Arabidopsis thaliana: one gene and its partners. The protein of the gene in region 4 interacts with the protein of the main gene of each other region in a pairwise test. Each region holds a gene or a part of one and is shown on either strand. Other genes may lie near its edges.

Region 1 (4,267 bases), on a different chromosome or scaffold from region 4:
CTCACTAAACCAGGAGTGCATTATTTTGTAAGCTTAAAGACCGGTCTTTGTCAGGCTGGGATTAAGCTTCGAGTCACGGTGCAACCATCAACCGAAGCTGTTACTTTCCCGAATGTTCCCAAGAAGAAGTTGTCACCTACCGTCAACAGATGGTAGTTACCCTTTCAGACCTCATCACTAAGCATTGAGTTTAGTTCAAGAGTTTTAGGTTTTGGTTTTGCTCTTTTAAAGAGTTTTTGGTCTTTTTATTCTTACTATTGTTTCATTTAGATTCTGTTATTCAGTTTTTCTTAAATTTCAAAGTTTTTATTTTTGTTTGATCAAGATTAGGCCCATAAACATGAACATGTTCCATATGACATTCACATGTCCCATGTGTTAGATTCTGAGCAGTAACAGAAAGCCTTATCAATATACACCAACAGATAAACGGAGTGTTATCACAAACTTAGATCGTGAATTTTACCACACCACAACGATTCAATATCAAGTTTCGTTTCTTTTTATCAATGGATGATGTCAAATGAAACTCGAATTTAGGACCAAAAAATCAAAGAGATAATTATAAATCATGATGTTGTTTTATAAAAGTTACGGGCTCACTTGCATGAAAGAATCAACAGGCCAATGAAGTGGTGATAAATAGCTTCTGCTTAAGACCAAAACCTAAGAAACATAACAGTCAAAAGAAAAAAAAGGTGCTTTTCAATTCTTATCATAAGCAAACCAAACTCTTCTCCCTACAACACAATCATATACAAATCTTCTCTCTCCCAAAAACTGAGATACCACAATCCATATCTATGGAAAGTGGATCACTCAGATTCTCAGACACAACAGGCATAGTCGAGTCTCGGAAGATTGTGATGAATAGTGTCCTAGTACTACTCTGTGCCCGGCATTTGAACCATCATATTCGAACCCTACATTCACAAACGAGTTTAATCAATTATCTGCATATTGATAGATTACAAATACCATTAACACTTCAAGATGCTCGATGCTATTGCCGAACCTCAGAGACTGGAACATATGAGAACCTATGTCTAGATTTCAAAAAGTGGATAATGCATATATGACGGTTTTATCGAGTCTATTAAAGTCCTTAAATCCTTTAATTGTTAATAATATTCTCTCTTTATACCCCGGCTCTGCTCTATGTAGAGAATGAATTCATTTATAAGTATCAACATTTCTTTTGTCGGAAAACACTTACTTGAGAGTTTCCATAAGGACCCTGTGAGAATGAGCCTTGTTGAGGAACCTGCGAGAACTGTTCAGAAAGTAAAGACAGGGAAACAATAAATTAGCTGGAGAAGCTAATGCTTAGGTAAACGACCATATCAACTGGAGAAGACCGAGTCATTACCTGAGACACTTGGCTTGGTTGACCATCTCTCTTTGCACTCGATTCCCCGCCTTTTCCTGATCCTTTAGTGTCACCCTATCAGACAGATAACAATAGCAAAGGGTAGCAGACAATCCTAATTAGATACAATCATACACCATATACCCCATAAAAGGATCCACGTACAAAATTCGACTATCAGAAAGATAAATGAAAGAGGAGAACCACGAACCTCCATCTGCAAAATTCCAATCCAAATAGCATAGACAAGGAAATGAGAAGGAAAAACAGAGAGTCAGTGAATGTATAGCAGAATGTAAACTGACTAATCTGAAGTGGAACATACCTCTCTATATCGCATCAGGTAAACCTTGAGGGGATCGATGTAATCTTCGAATCCTAAAGTGGCCATAGCCCAAAGCAAATCATCTCCATTGATGGTCTTCCTTTTCTCTCTTTGGCACTTATCACTAGCCCTAAAAGGCAAAACAATATTCCAAAATCGACATAGTGACTTTGCTTAACAACCCAATGAATATAACATCAATCTAACTTAACAAAGAAGAGGGCTTTACACGCTATAACCACCAAAGCAACAAAAAGGTAACATTTTTGAGAAAGTAGAGAAAGAAATTACTCGCTGGTGACGAAGCTGATGAATTCAGAGACACATTCCTGCATAGTCTCTTTAGCATCTTTAGCGATTTTGCCATTTAGAGGTAAACCTCTCTTCATGATACGGCTTATGTTAGCAATCGGAAGAAACCTGTCCTGCTCACGAACATTCAAAGACCTCGGGCTCTGATCACCGCCACTCTCATGGCTTCCACCACCACCACCACCGGTTTGCGATTCGGCCATCTCAGAAACCCTAGATAATCAGGTAGAGATTGGGAAATCGGGAGAATCGAGGAACCAAACCCAGAAAGCGCGAAGAAGTGATTAGAATACCTGAAGAAGAAGGAGAATTCGAAAAAGAGCGGGAGACGGAGAGAGAAATGATGATTGGAGGAGGAGACGGAGATGGAGAGAGAGATTTGATCTGATCTGATCCGACGCTGGAGAAGATAGGAGCTTGTATGCGATTCAACGATTTAGGGCTTTTTTATTTTTTTATCGACACCGTTCATTTTTTTTTTGTTAATTTGACAAAACCAAACAAACAAAAAAAACTCTTTTGTTTTTTCCTCAACAATGTTTCTTTGTTCTGCTTTTTTTAGTAATTAGGTGAAATAAAATATATAAGATTTATTTCAATGTAGTGAATTTTTTTCTTCTATCATGTAAACTATAGTAAAAAAACATGATTTCTTTTTTATATACATTGTATTTATGTAAGTGGATTTAATTTATCTAAATAGTTGTTATGATAAGTGGTTTTTCTCAGTGACATGTAATTTCTACTTATTTAATTGTCTAATTTAATTATTTAAGTGGTTTACTGTTTTTCTTGTTATCTTTATTGTTTTATTCAGTTTTTATTCTGTCATTTAAGCAAATATATATTTGTTTGGAATCAAAATAGTATTAGTTTTGTAATAAAACCTAGTATCTTATATAATAAAGTAAGGTTTCCTCAAACTTGTGCTCTAAAAATCTTACAAGTGGCGCTTTATTCATTCGACATGTGTCATTCTTCTTAAATTTAAATATACTATTTTCCATATTCTTTGAGTTTAATTAATATTCTATTTAATGACACATGTGATATCACGTTTTCTTTTATTTATTATGTCTAACTATTGCTGTTTTTTTTTTAGTCAACTAAACTGTTCTATTTCATAAATCAAAGCAGTTACGTTACACTAACATAATTATCATTTATGTAATTATGACCATGATTTCAATATTTAGTATCATATTTAATATCATTTTTAGTGTAACCCTTCACCTTATAAAATGCAAGACGCTGCATGTCAGTTTTTTTTAAGTTGGTTTCTCTGCATTTGTTAACGCTTGAGGTTGAAGCTTCATTCTTTCTATACGAAGATAATAAAAACGTGCATGGTAAGTTTCGGGAATTACTTCGAGAGGTTGCCTGTGAAGCTTCCTAATAACCGCCATGTGGAGAAGGAGAAGAAGAAGGAGGTGAAAGAAGAGGAGGTGGAGAATTGGGGGCTTAGAGAGTTGATCGATGGTGGTGACGTTGCTCCTGGTAGGATTCTTCATAGGAACAACATTAACATCGGTTCCTCAAGGTTTGTTTCTTACAACTCCTTTTAAACTTCTATCATTCTGTGTTGCTTTCGGGATTGTTTAAACATCGAAATAATATTTTGTGGTCTGCTAAGTCTTTCCACATAATTAAATTGAAAGTAAAGAGAAAAAAAGACAAAGCACGAACCATATGAGTATGACGGATTGGAGAAACCAAAGAATGGTAATCTCAAAGGTTTGCTTCGTCCTCTGTATTACGTTGTTTTTTATTTTTCTCATTTTCACTAAAGAAATGAACTAAAATCAAGTTTCTCTCTCTCATTTTTATAATTTTAATATTTGTTTTGTGTAGCTTTTGTATCGTCCAAATGTGGTGATACTGATTCACACTTTGTTACTTCTCTTCTTTATAACATGTTTCATGTGTTTTTGCTAATACATCCTTTTATAGGTGCAATGGTAGATACAAAGTGGCTTAAAAATTATTACACTAAGAATTTCTTAGCAATCATTACACTGAGAATTTCTGTTCATGATGAAGGTAATAGGTAAGCAAATCATATATGTCTTGCTCGATGCTCATCTGTGATGTATATTTTATTTAATTATTAATGTCATGGTTCTAATTTTTTCTCCAGCTATTTGTGTTTTAACTATTCGAGTCACAACCATAGTCAAAGTTTCAAAGTTTAGTAAATGGTGTCAAAGGCCTTTAGCTTCACTTTAGTGGTTCGACATGGGAACCCGGTGTCTTCAACCTGC
Region 2 (5,039 bases), about 11 Mb from region 4:
GGGTTAACGTTTGTTGTTTCCCACAAAACCGCGATAGTAATCAAGAAAGTTAAACGGATTGCATGTCAGTATTTACTAGTTCGAAACTTGGTTGGTATGAACTGCATGTTAATTATATTTTTAATGACTTCAAAGTGTTTGCTTAATGTTTTTAGTTATGATTTTATGTTTAAATTATAGATAATCTCTAGAACAAAACCAAACGTTTTAGCGGTTATTTTGATCAACAATATGATTGATATATACTAAAGATGGCATATCTATAGATGATTATAACTAGGTATACAAAATAAGTAAACCATAGCATCTTAAAAACAATTCTACTATAAACGATATTTTTGTTTGTTTGTGTAGACCTTTGATATTCATTGATATCATCACTTACTGAAAAAATAAAAAATTGAATAAGCAAAAAGCTGAATACCGACGACTGTCGATCCTTAAACTCACGAATCACGATTGTCAAACGCACGCTCACGGCTCACGGGAAGCTTTAGCCGCTATGATAAACGGTATCTTTTATCTAGGCGGCCAAAACTTTGTTCACCATAACACTTCAAACACAAATGTAGACCATTACACATATATAATCAAATGGTTTCCACTTAATATATGTTAGTATTCAAAATAACAAGATATTTTAAAAGCATAACAAGAGTTAGTGTCTCTATTTTCTCCCCACCTTCTTTCTAAATATAAATATTGCGTATGATTCATCATTTTCGCCTTTTTTTAATGGCTAACGTTCGGTGGTTGAGTGTCTGAGTGTCTGAGTGTCTGAGTCATATGCTATATATTATGCTTTGTCATTTTCCATATCATATTTGTGTATCCCCTTGTCCATGACCGATTAATTAATTTCGCTCTCACAACAAACACTTCACTAGAGAAAATATAATTACCATCTGTTCCCCTGAAACAATACATAATCAATGATGATATCAACATCAAGTGTTATAGTGAGAAATGCACAGCGAAATTTCTCAATTCGGTTTAGTATTCCAACAAATAAATCAATTATTGTTCACAAAGACGATCTGGCCAAAACTCATATAAATGTTATGTGTTATGGATCCTTTAATCTCCGTAATAACACCAAATTACTAAACTTCGAACGTATTTTACCTTTTGTAACCATTTAATATGATTTTAATAAACTTTTCATAGTTTTTTTTTTTACCTACAATTATTTATGGAAAATATTTTTTTCAGTTGTATTATTATTATTATTTTCTTAAAACAACTATATTTTTTTCATGAAGGGAAAACACTTTATATTATTTTGTGAAAGAAAGAAATTACAAATATTGAACTAATTAACTTATTTCTTTAACAAAAAAAAATCTTTTAATTGTTTTTGCCAATAGGGTCCCCACATTTTACAGGTGTCCCTCGTCCCAGCCCATCACTTGCGTGTCACTTGGACCCAAATTTCTCCTGTTTTTTAAAAGAAATTTAATTTCTTTCTAGTATATAAGAAAAAACAAAACAAATTAAAAATGAACCTATGATAACGTCAGCCGGAGAAGATCCCAGATCTGCGCGCGCTGGCATCTTTCATAGAGCGCCACGTGGCAAAAAGATTTTTCACTTTCGTAAGTGATCTTATCAAATCTCGGTCTTTTGTGTAAATTCATCATCATCATATAACTTACTCTATTTCGATTTTTCAATAAATTACTTAATATCAAAAACCACAATTCTGGCAAAAAAGAAAAATCCCCAAAATCTAGGGTTTTCTTCTCGCCCAATTTCACTTTTCTTCTACGAAATTCTCCATTCCTGCCGGCTGTCGGGTTTTCTGAATCGATTCTCCTTCACCAACTTCTTCTCTGGTTCTGTTCGATTCTGATTTTTTTTCAAGGTCAATTTTTTCTTCTCTTTAAACTCTGCAAAATCGTGATCGATTAAATTCACCTCAGGGTTTTTTGATTTCTGAAAGAAGTTAATCTTCTTCGAAGGCGATTGCAAAAGAGTGCTCTGCTGTGAATTTCCACTGGTATGTTCAATTTTTTCTGTTTTTGAAATTTTGTTTGCTAGAATTCGTGAAGGGATTGAAAAAATTGATGCAGGTGGCTAAAGAATCTCTTGAATATTACGAGCTTATGTAGGTTTAGAGTGTAAATTCGAGACATGTGAGATTTTGGTGCTTTCTCATATTTTTGCATGCTTCTGCATTGCTTCATAGCCCTAAAATTGCTCTCTTTTTTTTGTAGTTGGAGTCTGTATCTTTTTCACGGTTTTAGTGATGAATTTTTTTTTTTGATTGGATTTTGAATTGGTTACTGAACATGTGTTGACTTGATTATGTAGAGATGCAATCAAAACCGGGAAGAGAAAACGAAGAGGAAGTCAATAATCACCATGCTGTTCAGCAGCCGATGATGTATGCAGAGCCCTGGTGGAAAAACAACTCCTTTGGTGTTGTACCTCAAGCGAGACCTTCTGGAATTCCATCAAATTCCTCTTCTTTGGATTGCCCCAATGGTTCCGAGTCAAACGATGTTCATTCAGCATCTGAAGACGGTGCGTTGAATGGTGAAAACGATGGCACTTGGAAGGATTCACAAGCTGCAACTTCCTCTCGTTCAGGTTTGAGTTCTTGGTCTTTAGGCCTACTTGGTGTATTGTTCATATTCATCATTTCTGCAGTACTGTTTTACTGGATGACCTAGTGATCACTGTCGAAAGTGATGTTGTTCCACGTTCGGAATGTTGCAACTTGGTGAAGAGTTGTTCCTCAAGCAGGCAGGGAAATTAAATGGGCATTTGTGTGATTCGGCACTATAGGGCGTGTCAAGTTCATGAATCTGGTCCTTGAAATATACTTGCATTGTAATTGTAGGGTTTCATAGTTCTATCCATGCCAAGGAGATTCTGTCTCGTTGATATGTGCATTGTGATTTCTTTATTTTGTTTGTAATGGTGTCTTTCTTCAACTTCAGTAGATAATCACGGAATGGAAGGAAATGACCCAGCGCTCTCTATCCGTAACATGCATGATCAGCCACTTGTACAACCACCAGAGCTTGTTGGACACTATATCGTATGTGGTTTCCTCTCATTCCTTAATATATATATATATATGCTTTATGAGTTCTTGAGCTGTTAAATTGACTTCTTATTGGTCCCTCAAAAGGATTTATCTTGTATAACGCCCTTTTCATATGTATGATAAACTCAAAACTTCCTTACAGGCTTGTGTCCCAAACCCATATCAGGATCCATATTATGGGGGATTGATGGGAGCATATGGTCATCAGCAATTGGTATCTTGTCGAAACCTCTTTCAATCTCTACAATAGTTCCATATGGTGCAGTGTTTATTTGATGTATGTGCGCTTTTGCCACTAAGTACCCGTTTGTGGTGATTTTATTTACTGTTGGAATGTGTCTGGGTTCAGCAATAGTCAGTGAGATGCTTTTAAAGTTCATTTCTGAAATAACTGAGAATCCAAAGTTATATCTGAAATTATCGAGAACAACTAATGGGGATTCTTGGGGTCTTATAAGTTATATGTAAAGTTTTCGATGATCTGAGTCTATTTGTTGCATTTATTTTGTTCATTGGTTTAAACAGGGTTTTCGTCCATATCTTGGAATGCCTCGTGAAAGAACAGCTCTGCCACTTGACATGGCACAAGAGCCCGTTTATGTGAATGCAAAGCAGTACGAGGGAATTCTAAGGCGAAGAAAAGCACGTGCCAAGGCAGAGCTAGAGAGGAAAGTCATCCGGGACAGAAAGGTATTTTTTTCTCATTTATGAAAATTGTACTTGATTGGTGTCCTGGTAATCTAAGGATGGTGTAGAGTCCATAATAGAAGTGGACCCATGCTATATGAAGGATTGATAATGAGCATTAAGAATTTGCAAGTTTGGTTTGTCGCTCGGTAAACTTGTATTGACTATGTTTGAAATGCGACAGCCATATCTTCACGAGTCAAGACACAAGCATGCAATGAGAAGGGCACGAGCGAGTGGAGGCCGGTTTGCGAAGAAAAGTGAGGTAGAAGCGGGAGAGGATGCAGGAGGGAGAGACAGAGAAAGGGGTTCAGCAACCAACTCATCAGGCTCTGAACAAGTTGAGACAGACTCTAATGAGACCCTGAATTCTTCTGGTGCACCATAATAAAAAAAGCCAAAGCTCTGAGAGGAGAGAGAGACACACACTTTGGCTAATATAATCATTGCCTCAAACCGGCAAATCATTCTTGGCTTTTTCGTTTTTGTGTTTGCTAGTTGTTCTTGTCAGAGTCTCATATTGTGTGGGTTTAACAGTTATGATGAATGTACAAAGAGCGAGTTATGTTAGGTGTTAGATTTTGGAGACAAGAGACTAAGGAATAGCAAGTAGGTCTTGTTTTTATTCTTTGACCTTTTTTTTCTCTTTTGCAAAATTGAAAAATACGTTTGCTTAATCGTTTGCCTTTCTGACCACAAAGTGTTAACAAGGCTATAACAATGCTTCAGATTTGTAGTCAAATTCTCTGTTTTCGCCAACTTAAACATTATTTGACCGGAGGAGAGTGATTAGAAAGTAGAAGAAACCTATTAAACATTATGTTTTGCAAAGAAAAAAAAAACAGCTTGCAATAAGTTGCATAGTTTGCTCATGGAAGTTTCAAGTTTGCATATAAACCAGATTTGAAAAGGACAGTGAAAAAAAAGAAGTTGTTAAATCTACAACGGGCAGATCGATTATTTATATCAACAAAAAACACGAAGAGCATATGAAAGAGAATATGGAAACACATAAAAAATTAAGAGTTGTCATTCTTTGAATCCCCGCAAGCAAGAAGAAGAAGAAGAAGAAGAGAGTCAATTTGTGTGTTTTGTCATTTGAAGAAGAGAGAGAAAGAGGAAGACTTTGACTCGTCTTCTTCCTCTCTTCTTCTCTCTCTATCACTGCATTTGTTTTTCCTCACAGCGTATGATGACTTTTCTCTTTAATTTATCCTTTTTAGCTACATATCTTCTTTTGCTTCAACTGATTTATACCCATTTAAATGTTTCTACCCATTATAAGTTCTGAGGTCTG
Region 3 (2,851 bases), on a different chromosome or scaffold from region 4:
AACTCTCATATGCTAGACTAGAAGTAGAATTTACATCCAAAATATGGCATACGATCAAACAATATGTTGTACTTTTGCCAAAATAATTCAAAAAAGTGTTGGATAAAACACTTAAAGCCGAGGTGGATGAATGGAAGCCTTTAAGCCAAGGTTAAAAAAACAGTCGATGGACTTCAAAGTTAATATTGGGCTAAAAATTGAAGGACCCATTGACGAAGAAAAAGTGAAACAAACTTAATATCAGAAAACAGAAAGCCCATATGGTTCTTCTATCATTTCAAGGCATGCAAACCGTAAAATTGTTTTCAGTTTGGGATCCGACTTGGAATTTGGAAAAGAGAATAATAAACCCACCAATACACTATGAAATGAGAATAATAAAATACTCCATGGGTTACAAAAGACAGCATTGGCGAATTATTAATTATCATGTTTAAGCATACAATATAATTAGCAAGCAAAAAATAGGAGACCGTTAACAACTTTCCAATTGAAGTGTGATGCAATTGATAAATTAAGGGCAAAAAGTGTGATGCTTTTCACAAAGAAATAAAACTTTACATACACTTTTTTTCTAATTGGTTGTGAATGGTTAAGTCAACTCAGTTTCGAAGTATGTAGAACATCTTTTTAAATCGCATAATCCGGTTTTTAATTAATGACGTATTCTAGGTTTTTTTTTTTAAGTGCGTATATTCTAAGTTCTTACGTAAATATATGTCTTTAAAAAGATTATAATGATTAGTTAAGCCTCTCTATACCATGAATAAAGTGCAGAATGTAAAGGAAATGCTCTAAGAACTCCAAAAAAAAAAAAAAAGAAGAAGAAGGAAATGCCTGAAACTTTCCATCTTTCCGTTAATAGACTAGCAAGAACTCGAACAAAATGTGTGTTCACACATCTTCTACGATATTTTTTCCCAAACGAAAGGTTTATCATTTTCCCCAAAAATTAGGATACATATTCGACTAGAGACGTTCACCTACGATCACCAATTCATTAGGAATTCTTGATTATACAAAATATTATAAAATCATTATATTTAGACAATCCAAATCCAAATCCACAAGATACAAAATCGTGATAGTTTGACGTTTCATAATGCCTCATGTGGCTTACAATATGCTTAGGGTTTGAACCCATATCTAAAATGCACATGCTCTTAGTATATAAACCAATGACTTGGCCAATATAGACCCATTGAATATTTGTATTGGTTAACTTCTAACGACGAAATTTCTCAATATTTTGTTTTTAGCTATTGCCTTTTATATAGATTTGGTGAATTTTTGCGCAGTATTGCTAATAATTAAATAAGTATTTATTTTTAAAACATATTAAAACCAAAGGTCAAATGCATGCGAGTGGCCGTACTGGATTATGCGGATTACGTGCCTCGAATTTCATATTTTCTATAATACAATTAAGGTTTTGACATTCCATAAGCCAACCATTGCTTCATCAAGAATAATTTCTTTTACCAAAGTAGCTACGCTCTAATCAAAATTAAAGTTAAGATTTAATTTTAGATATTAATTTAGTATTAACTTGTCATATACAGTACTGTACGTAGATATCCGTATGTATTAGACGGATTGATGATGCATATGGATCAAAGCTAAGCCACAATCACCAAACAGGTATAAACGATTCTGCTATAGCTTATATAAGCTTAATTCACATACATATATACAGAGAGAATCTTAGACATATATTATATATATAGTATGTAATAAATTAAGAGTAGGTTCAAGTAGTACATCTACTCATCATACACATACACACCCTATATAATCTATATATAGAGAGAGGGAGGGTCATATAGGACAACTTGTATAAAAAGGTTATAAGAGAAGCGAGAGCTGATAGATTCACTGAAACAAAAGAGAAAAATGACAGACGAAGATAGATTGTTGCCAATAGCCAATGTAGGGAGACTTATGAAGCAAATCCTACCATCAAATGCAAAGATCTCAAAAGAAGCAAAACAAACAGTTCAAGAATGTGCAACAGAGTTCATAAGCTTTGTTACATGCGAAGCATCAGAGAAGTGCCACAGGGAGAATCGGAAGACGGTGAATGGAGACGACATCTGGTGGGCTCTCAGCACTCTCGGCCTCGATAACTATGCTGACGCCGTGGGTAGGCATCTTCACAAGTACCGTGAAGCCGAGAGAGAAAGAACTGAGCACAACAAAGGTAGCAATGATAGTGGGAATGAGAAAGAAACCAACACTAGAAGTGATGTACAGAACCAATCGACAAAATTTATTAGAGTTGTTGAGAAGGGAAGCAGCTCCTCGGCCCGTTGAACTAGACATCTAAGTTCTGAATTATTTACTATGAAGCCAAGAAAGATCTGTAGAGAGACCAGAAGGATTCAATAATGTCAATGTTGAATCATTAATACAATGTACATGTTTGTAATTGATTTCTAAACATGAGTTTCTACATACATATATATAAATCTATGATATTTCTTCTTGCAAGCAAATAACGTGTAATTTAGACTTAGAATATTGGTCGGTTCGAACAATAGGAAGAGGAGAAGATAGCAGAAACAAGGTACTAGCAAGATGATTTTGGTTTTCTTTTTCCTTTTGGTATATATATCACCGCATAGGTCGATCCAAGGCTTTCCATAAACATAATAGGCCAAAAAATAAGAGCTTTTTGTATATCTTACCGCATATATCCATTGATGGATCTGTTACAGTGGCTAGAACAATGATATTTTTTAATCCCCATATGCCTAATGGCCTTCTGGAGCCTGAGGCTAGTGTTAACCAAAATAAAGGAGCATTGGGACTTGACCATTTAAAATGAAATCCTAAAGAAGTCAGAAAGTAA
Region 4 (4,791 bases):
TAAAACGGAAGGGGGTTTGAGATTGTTGGAGAGTCTGAAGAAGGAAATCGAGGTTGCGAATGAGGAACATTTGATGGTTGCATTGGGAAAGATTGAGGCGTTGAAAGGATATAAAGAGATAGAAAGACAGAGAGAAGGGAAAGCTATAAAGGTTTTGGATTTGTTGGTGGAAAGGAATAAGAGAATCAAGAACATGTTGGAAGAGGCGGAAAGATCGAAGGATATTGAAATTGAGTTGTTTGAGACGAGTACGGATGTTGAGATGTTGGAAACACAGTTAAAGCTTTTCAAGAAAATGGAGAGGAGAGTTCAGGGGAGAGATAGTAGTAGTATGTCGAGATCAAACCGTTCTTTTGGAAGAGGGAAGTATAGTTTATCGGTTTTGAAAGAAGTGACTGAAGGGAAGAAGGAGGAACTTGCTTCTGTTAAAGTAGAGATCTTCAGGGTCATGACAGTAATGGATGCGTTGAGGAATGAGATTATCCGAGCCAGGGATGAAACAGCTTGCCTTGGAAAAATCTTGAGGGAAGATGATGTTAAGATTGAGAAACTCAACTCAAAGATTCTTATCGAAAAATCGAAGTTGGAAGTGGTATCTATCGCCGAAGAAAGGATTAGCTCTCTTGCTGAGAATTTCGTTGGTTCGCTTGAGAAGATAAAGAAAAGTAGAAATGCTGCAAAGAAAGAGGAGTTCCTTTTCAAAGAAGAGAAGACGGTTACAAAGGCGGAAACACAGAAAACCAAACTTGATATAGATAAAAAGGAAAGCGAACTGAATTCAAAGTTGGATGAGCTTGAAAAAGTGAAGCACACTGAGGCTTTAGTGCTTGAGAAGCTTGAATCTTTAGTAGAAGACATGATGGAGAGTCGCGAAATGGAGTCTGAGCATTGTTCAACAATCACTATCTCGAGGTTTGAGTACGAGTATTTGAGTAAACATGCTTCACAAGCGGAAGAAACCGCAGAGAAGAAAGTTGCAGCAGCAGCGGCGTGGGTGGAAGCACTCAAGGCTAGCACAAAATCGTTTCTGATGAAGACGGAAACTTTGATGAGAGAAAGTGAAATGACGAAAGCGGAAGAAGAGAGAGAAGTGTTTAGGATGGAAAGGTCATTGTCGACGAAGAGATTGGTGGAGGGTGAGATTCAGAAGATTAAGAGGAACTCGGAAGCTGAAGGCTATATTTCTCCCAAACCAGTTGGAAAATTCACACCGGTCCAACGTGGGAAGCCAAGAAGATACTCATCTGTTGGAACTCCAACTTTCTTTGTAATCAAGAAGAAAAAGAAAGTTCCACGCTTGGCCAAGTTCTTCAGTCGCAGAAGTTAAAAACTCAAATCATTTTGACTTCTGCGTTCAATAACAATTGCTAGAATCTCTAAGAAATCTAAATTCTATGAAATGATTCACATTCACATTCTTGTTCTTGTTCATTGTTGTGCATGATCATATAATACATGGAGTAGACTCATTCTAGCATACGATTGGTAACCATTGTTTTCATTGGCTTTCAACATTTATTTGTATGTTGCTGATCTTTATGAATACACTAGGCCAGTTAGAGGAAGAATTTTTCTCCTGGGTCTGTTCTGTCATGAACTTAGAGTTTCTGTATGTAATTTTGGTTATAGTTGTCTGAAAATGTTGATTTCTGGGTACCATGTAGTGCATATGTTTGGTACTGGTTTGACAATGTGTGAGCATAGTTATATGAATTATTTGTTCTATATCTTTTTTGGGTTCATGGTTTGTGGAATCTTAAAGAGCAACAAGATCTAGGGTGTTGGTCACTGTTCGCTATGGTCTGTTTCTGTGAAAGTTGGTGTCTAACTGATACCATAATCAAGAAATAGGATATATTTATTTTTACTAATGTAAATGTTTGTAAAATCGTTTGCTTGTTTTTATGCCATTACATTTCTATCATTTGTGGAAGTTAAGAGTTACCAAAATCAGAACTCAATAAACTTGATGTGGCTTTGATCTAATCCAGGTTTACTTGTGTGACAACTTCATTGATGAGACTGGATCACATTTAGATGAGTTGTGGCATATTGATATCTTTGGGTTCTTGAAATTACATTTAGACTATGTGCTCTTACTATATAGACTGAATTCGGTCATCAGGTTTCTTCTACGCAGCGCGTGGCTTTCACGGAAAAGGTCTGCGAGTGGTTCTTTCGTATGTATGCCTCACGAGCTCCACGAGGTATATCCTTACTAACGTGTGAGTATTAAATGTTTTCCTCTTTATTCCAGAAAAGTTTGTTCACAATCTTTAAAAGGAATCTCTTAGTCATTGGTACACTCTTAAATGACTATTATTACGTTATGATTCTAGCTCCATATATAGAGAACCCTTGTTCTTGCCAAACTCTACATCTTCAAAGATTTTTCATCATCTGTTGTGAAATATAACATGAGGAGGCCAAAGTCATCTCACGTCAGGATGGAACCTGTTGCGCCTCGTTCACATAACACGATGCCAATGCTTGATCAATTTCGATCTAATCATCCTGAAACAAGCAAGGTAAATTTAGTCAGTCCTAGTTCTGTGTTTTTGGCTTAAAGTCTTTTTATGTATGTTTCTTTAACATTTTGGTCTTAAACAGATCGAGGGGGTCTCTTCGTTGGACACAGCTCTGAAGGTGTTTTGGAATAATCAAAGGGAGCAGCTAGGAAACTTTGCAGGTGACTGATATTAAGAGATGTTTAGAGTACCTAAATAGGAAAAAAGAGTGCATTGACACCTAAATGCTAATTCTTCGACTTGTTTTGGTTACCTACAGGCCAAACTCATTTGCCGCTATCTAGGGTCAGAAAGATTTTGAAATCTGATCCTGAAGTCAAGGTATGTGAGGTTAACTTGAATTATGTTGGCTGGTCTAGAGTTTCTGAAATTGCCATTATGATCAAATTTGTTAGTCTGTTGAGTTTTACTGTTAGAATGTTTTAGTGTTGTTTATTTTTACTGTTCCTTTGACATCTTTCTAAGGTTGATATCAATACTTATAGACAAGATATATGTGACATCAAAGATTTGAAGAAATATGTTTGTTATTACAATTTTTTCCTAAGATATATGTGAATTTTCAGAAGATAAGCTGTGATGTTCCTGCTTTGTTTTCGAAAGCCTGTGAATACTTCATTCTAGAGGTAACATTACGAGCTTGGATGCATACTCAATCATGCACTCGTGAGACCATCCGGCGTTGTGATATCTTCCAGGCCGTAAAGAACTCAGGAACTTATGATTTCCTGATTGATCGTGTCCCTTTTGGACCGCACTGTGTCACCCATCAGGTTAGCTCCTTTTCGCAATCTTACTCGTGAAATCAAAAAAATTATGTTTTCATGTGCTAAATCTTTCTGTTCAGGGTGTGCAACCTCCTGCTGAAATGATTTTGCCGGATATGAATGTTCCAATCGATATGGACCAGATTGAGGAGGTGATTATTTTACTTAATAATTGGTATTATCTGAAACAAAGCATTTTAATGCGATGCTAAGTTAGAATTCATGTTCGTTTATTGCATTTGCACCAAAACCAGGAGAATATGATGGAAGAGCGCTCTGTCGGGTTTGACCTCAACTGTGATCTCCAGGTAGTTTTCTTTGAGCTTCTATTCATACAACAATTGCATTAGTGTATAGTTTCTGTTTTGCAAACATTTTAGATTGAGGATGCACTAGTAAACATATTGTTAGAGAACCCATTTAGAAAAGAACTTCATAGTAGCTTCAATTTGAGAGCAATCTTGCTAGCATCATTGTTAGGACTTAACAGATTTGTGCATAGAGACTAACTAGATAGGGGATAAATATATAAAGGTGTATCCAGAGAAATCCATGAGACATTTGGCATTTGCAGTATTTGATTCATTGAAGGATTTCAATTTGATATCTTGTTGTTTTTTGAGTAGTTAGTTGATACTTGTTGATGAATGCGATACCGAGTTAATTTACTTACGGACTGCGAATAGAAAATAAGAAACCATTTGGTTGTTTGTTCCTTAAGATTTATGTTCTTGCTATGGATTTGTACTTGTGGCTTCGGATCTGCAGTGAACATGAAGCTGCTCTGGAAGACAAAAACTTGAAGAAGAGAAGAAATCTGAAGAGGAATCACCCAACAACTCTATGTTATGTTCACCTTATAATAGTTTATCATAAACTCATTCACTAAACTATGTGTATTATTTATTGTTCCTGAATAAAAATACAATGTTTCGGTGTTTCCTCCTAAACCAAAAAAGAATAATACAATGTTTGATATTTTTACTTATGTAATTTATTTTTTTATTTATTTTATTTTGTTTTTTTTGTCATTTGCACGAAAAAGTTTTCTACACATTTTGATGAACACGTTTTAGGTGGATCTATTTTGGTTTCTCTCTTTAATAATGTCCATGGGTGGGGCACAACTCTGTACAACACCATAACTTTTCGTATCCTTAGTTTTGTATGGCCACTCTTTTGCCACTTCGGAATATTTGCCAAAACTAATGTTAACCAAAACTAATGCTTGTCAAATCATATTGTACCGAAAAATGTAAAGTATGGTGCCAAAGTAAGGTTTAACATCAAAGGACACCAAATGATGTCGAGGAAGGATGTAATTAACTAATGGTATGACATGTAAGCAAGAGATATATTTTTCTTCTATATTCTATGAAAATTGTTTACCAAAATATGTTTGTTTTTAAGTATGGACGGTGAAGTAAACGACACTCCGTCATATAAAATCAAAAGTTCAAATATTTCACATGTTCTTGTTCTATAGATAATATTTA

Evidence for each region.
Region 1: the proteins of NF-YC12 (region 4) and NF-YB10 interact in a two-hybrid assay, tested with the Arabidopsis thaliana proteins (2 studies listed by BioGRID).
Region 2: the proteins of NF-YC12 (region 4) and NF-YA1 interact in a two-hybrid assay, tested with the Arabidopsis thaliana proteins (one study listed by BioGRID).
Region 3: the proteins of NF-YC12 (region 4) and NF-YB4 interact in binary tests that used the Arabidopsis thaliana proteins (3 or more experiments, as listed by UniProt).

The regions. Positions count from the first base shown.
Region 1 is NC_003074.8:19,773,783-19,778,049, forward strand, and holds NF-YB10 (nuclear factor Y, subunit B10), read right to left. Parts: upstream 2,508-4,267; 5' UTR 2,300-2,507; exon of another isoform or gene 2,220-2,299; 5' UTR 2,210-2,219; coding exon 1,986-2,209; intron 1,825-1,985; coding exon 1,695-1,824; coding exon of another isoform or gene 1,674-1,694; exon of another isoform or gene 1,587-1,673; coding exon 1,581-1,586; coding exon of another isoform or gene 1,485-1,580; exon of another isoform or gene 1,445-1,484; coding exon 1,370-1,444; intron 1,274-1,369; coding exon 1,217-1,273; intron 924-1,216; coding exon 885-923; 3' UTR 547-884; downstream 1-546. Other genes in the region: AT3G53330 (plastocyanin-like domain-containing protein), read left to right, coding at 1-156; AT3G53342 (uncharacterized protein), read left to right, coding at 3,353-3,571.
Region 2 is NC_003076.8:4,050,238-4,055,276, reverse strand, and holds NF-YA1 (nuclear factor Y, subunit A1), read left to right. Parts: upstream 1-1,607; 5' UTR 1,608-1,999; intron 2,000-2,313; 5' UTR 2,314-2,315; coding exon 2,316-2,592; intron 2,593-2,945; coding exon 2,946-3,046; intron 3,047-3,197; coding exon 3,198-3,269; intron 3,270-3,580; coding exon 3,581-3,745; intron 3,746-3,926; coding exon 3,927-4,130; 3' UTR 4,131-4,497; downstream 4,498-5,039. UniProt on the Arabidopsis thaliana protein: Stimulates the transcription of various genes by recognizing and binding to a CCAAT motif in promoters.
Region 3 is NC_003070.9:2,908,073-2,910,923, reverse strand, and holds NF-YB4 (nuclear factor Y, subunit B4), read left to right. Parts: upstream 1-1,891; 5' UTR 1,892-1,893; coding exon 1,894-2,313; downstream 2,314-2,851. UniProt on the Arabidopsis thaliana protein: Component of the NF-Y/HAP transcription factor complex. The NF-Y complex stimulates the transcription of various genes by recognizing and binding to a CCAAT motif in promoters.
Region 4 is NC_003076.8:15,219,652-15,224,442, reverse strand, and holds NF-YC12 (nuclear factor Y, subunit C12), read left to right. Parts: upstream 1-1,918; 5' UTR 1,919-2,225; intron 2,226-2,339; 5' UTR 2,340-2,417; coding exon 2,418-2,528; intron 2,529-2,610; coding exon 2,611-2,689; intron 2,690-2,787; coding exon 2,788-2,849; intron 2,850-3,094; coding exon 3,095-3,301; intron 3,302-3,375; coding exon 3,376-3,447; intron 3,448-3,549; coding exon 3,550-3,603; intron 3,604-4,063; coding exon 4,064-4,066; 3' UTR 4,067-4,235; downstream 4,236-4,791. UniProt on the Arabidopsis thaliana protein: Stimulates the transcription of various genes by recognizing and binding to a CCAAT motif in promoters.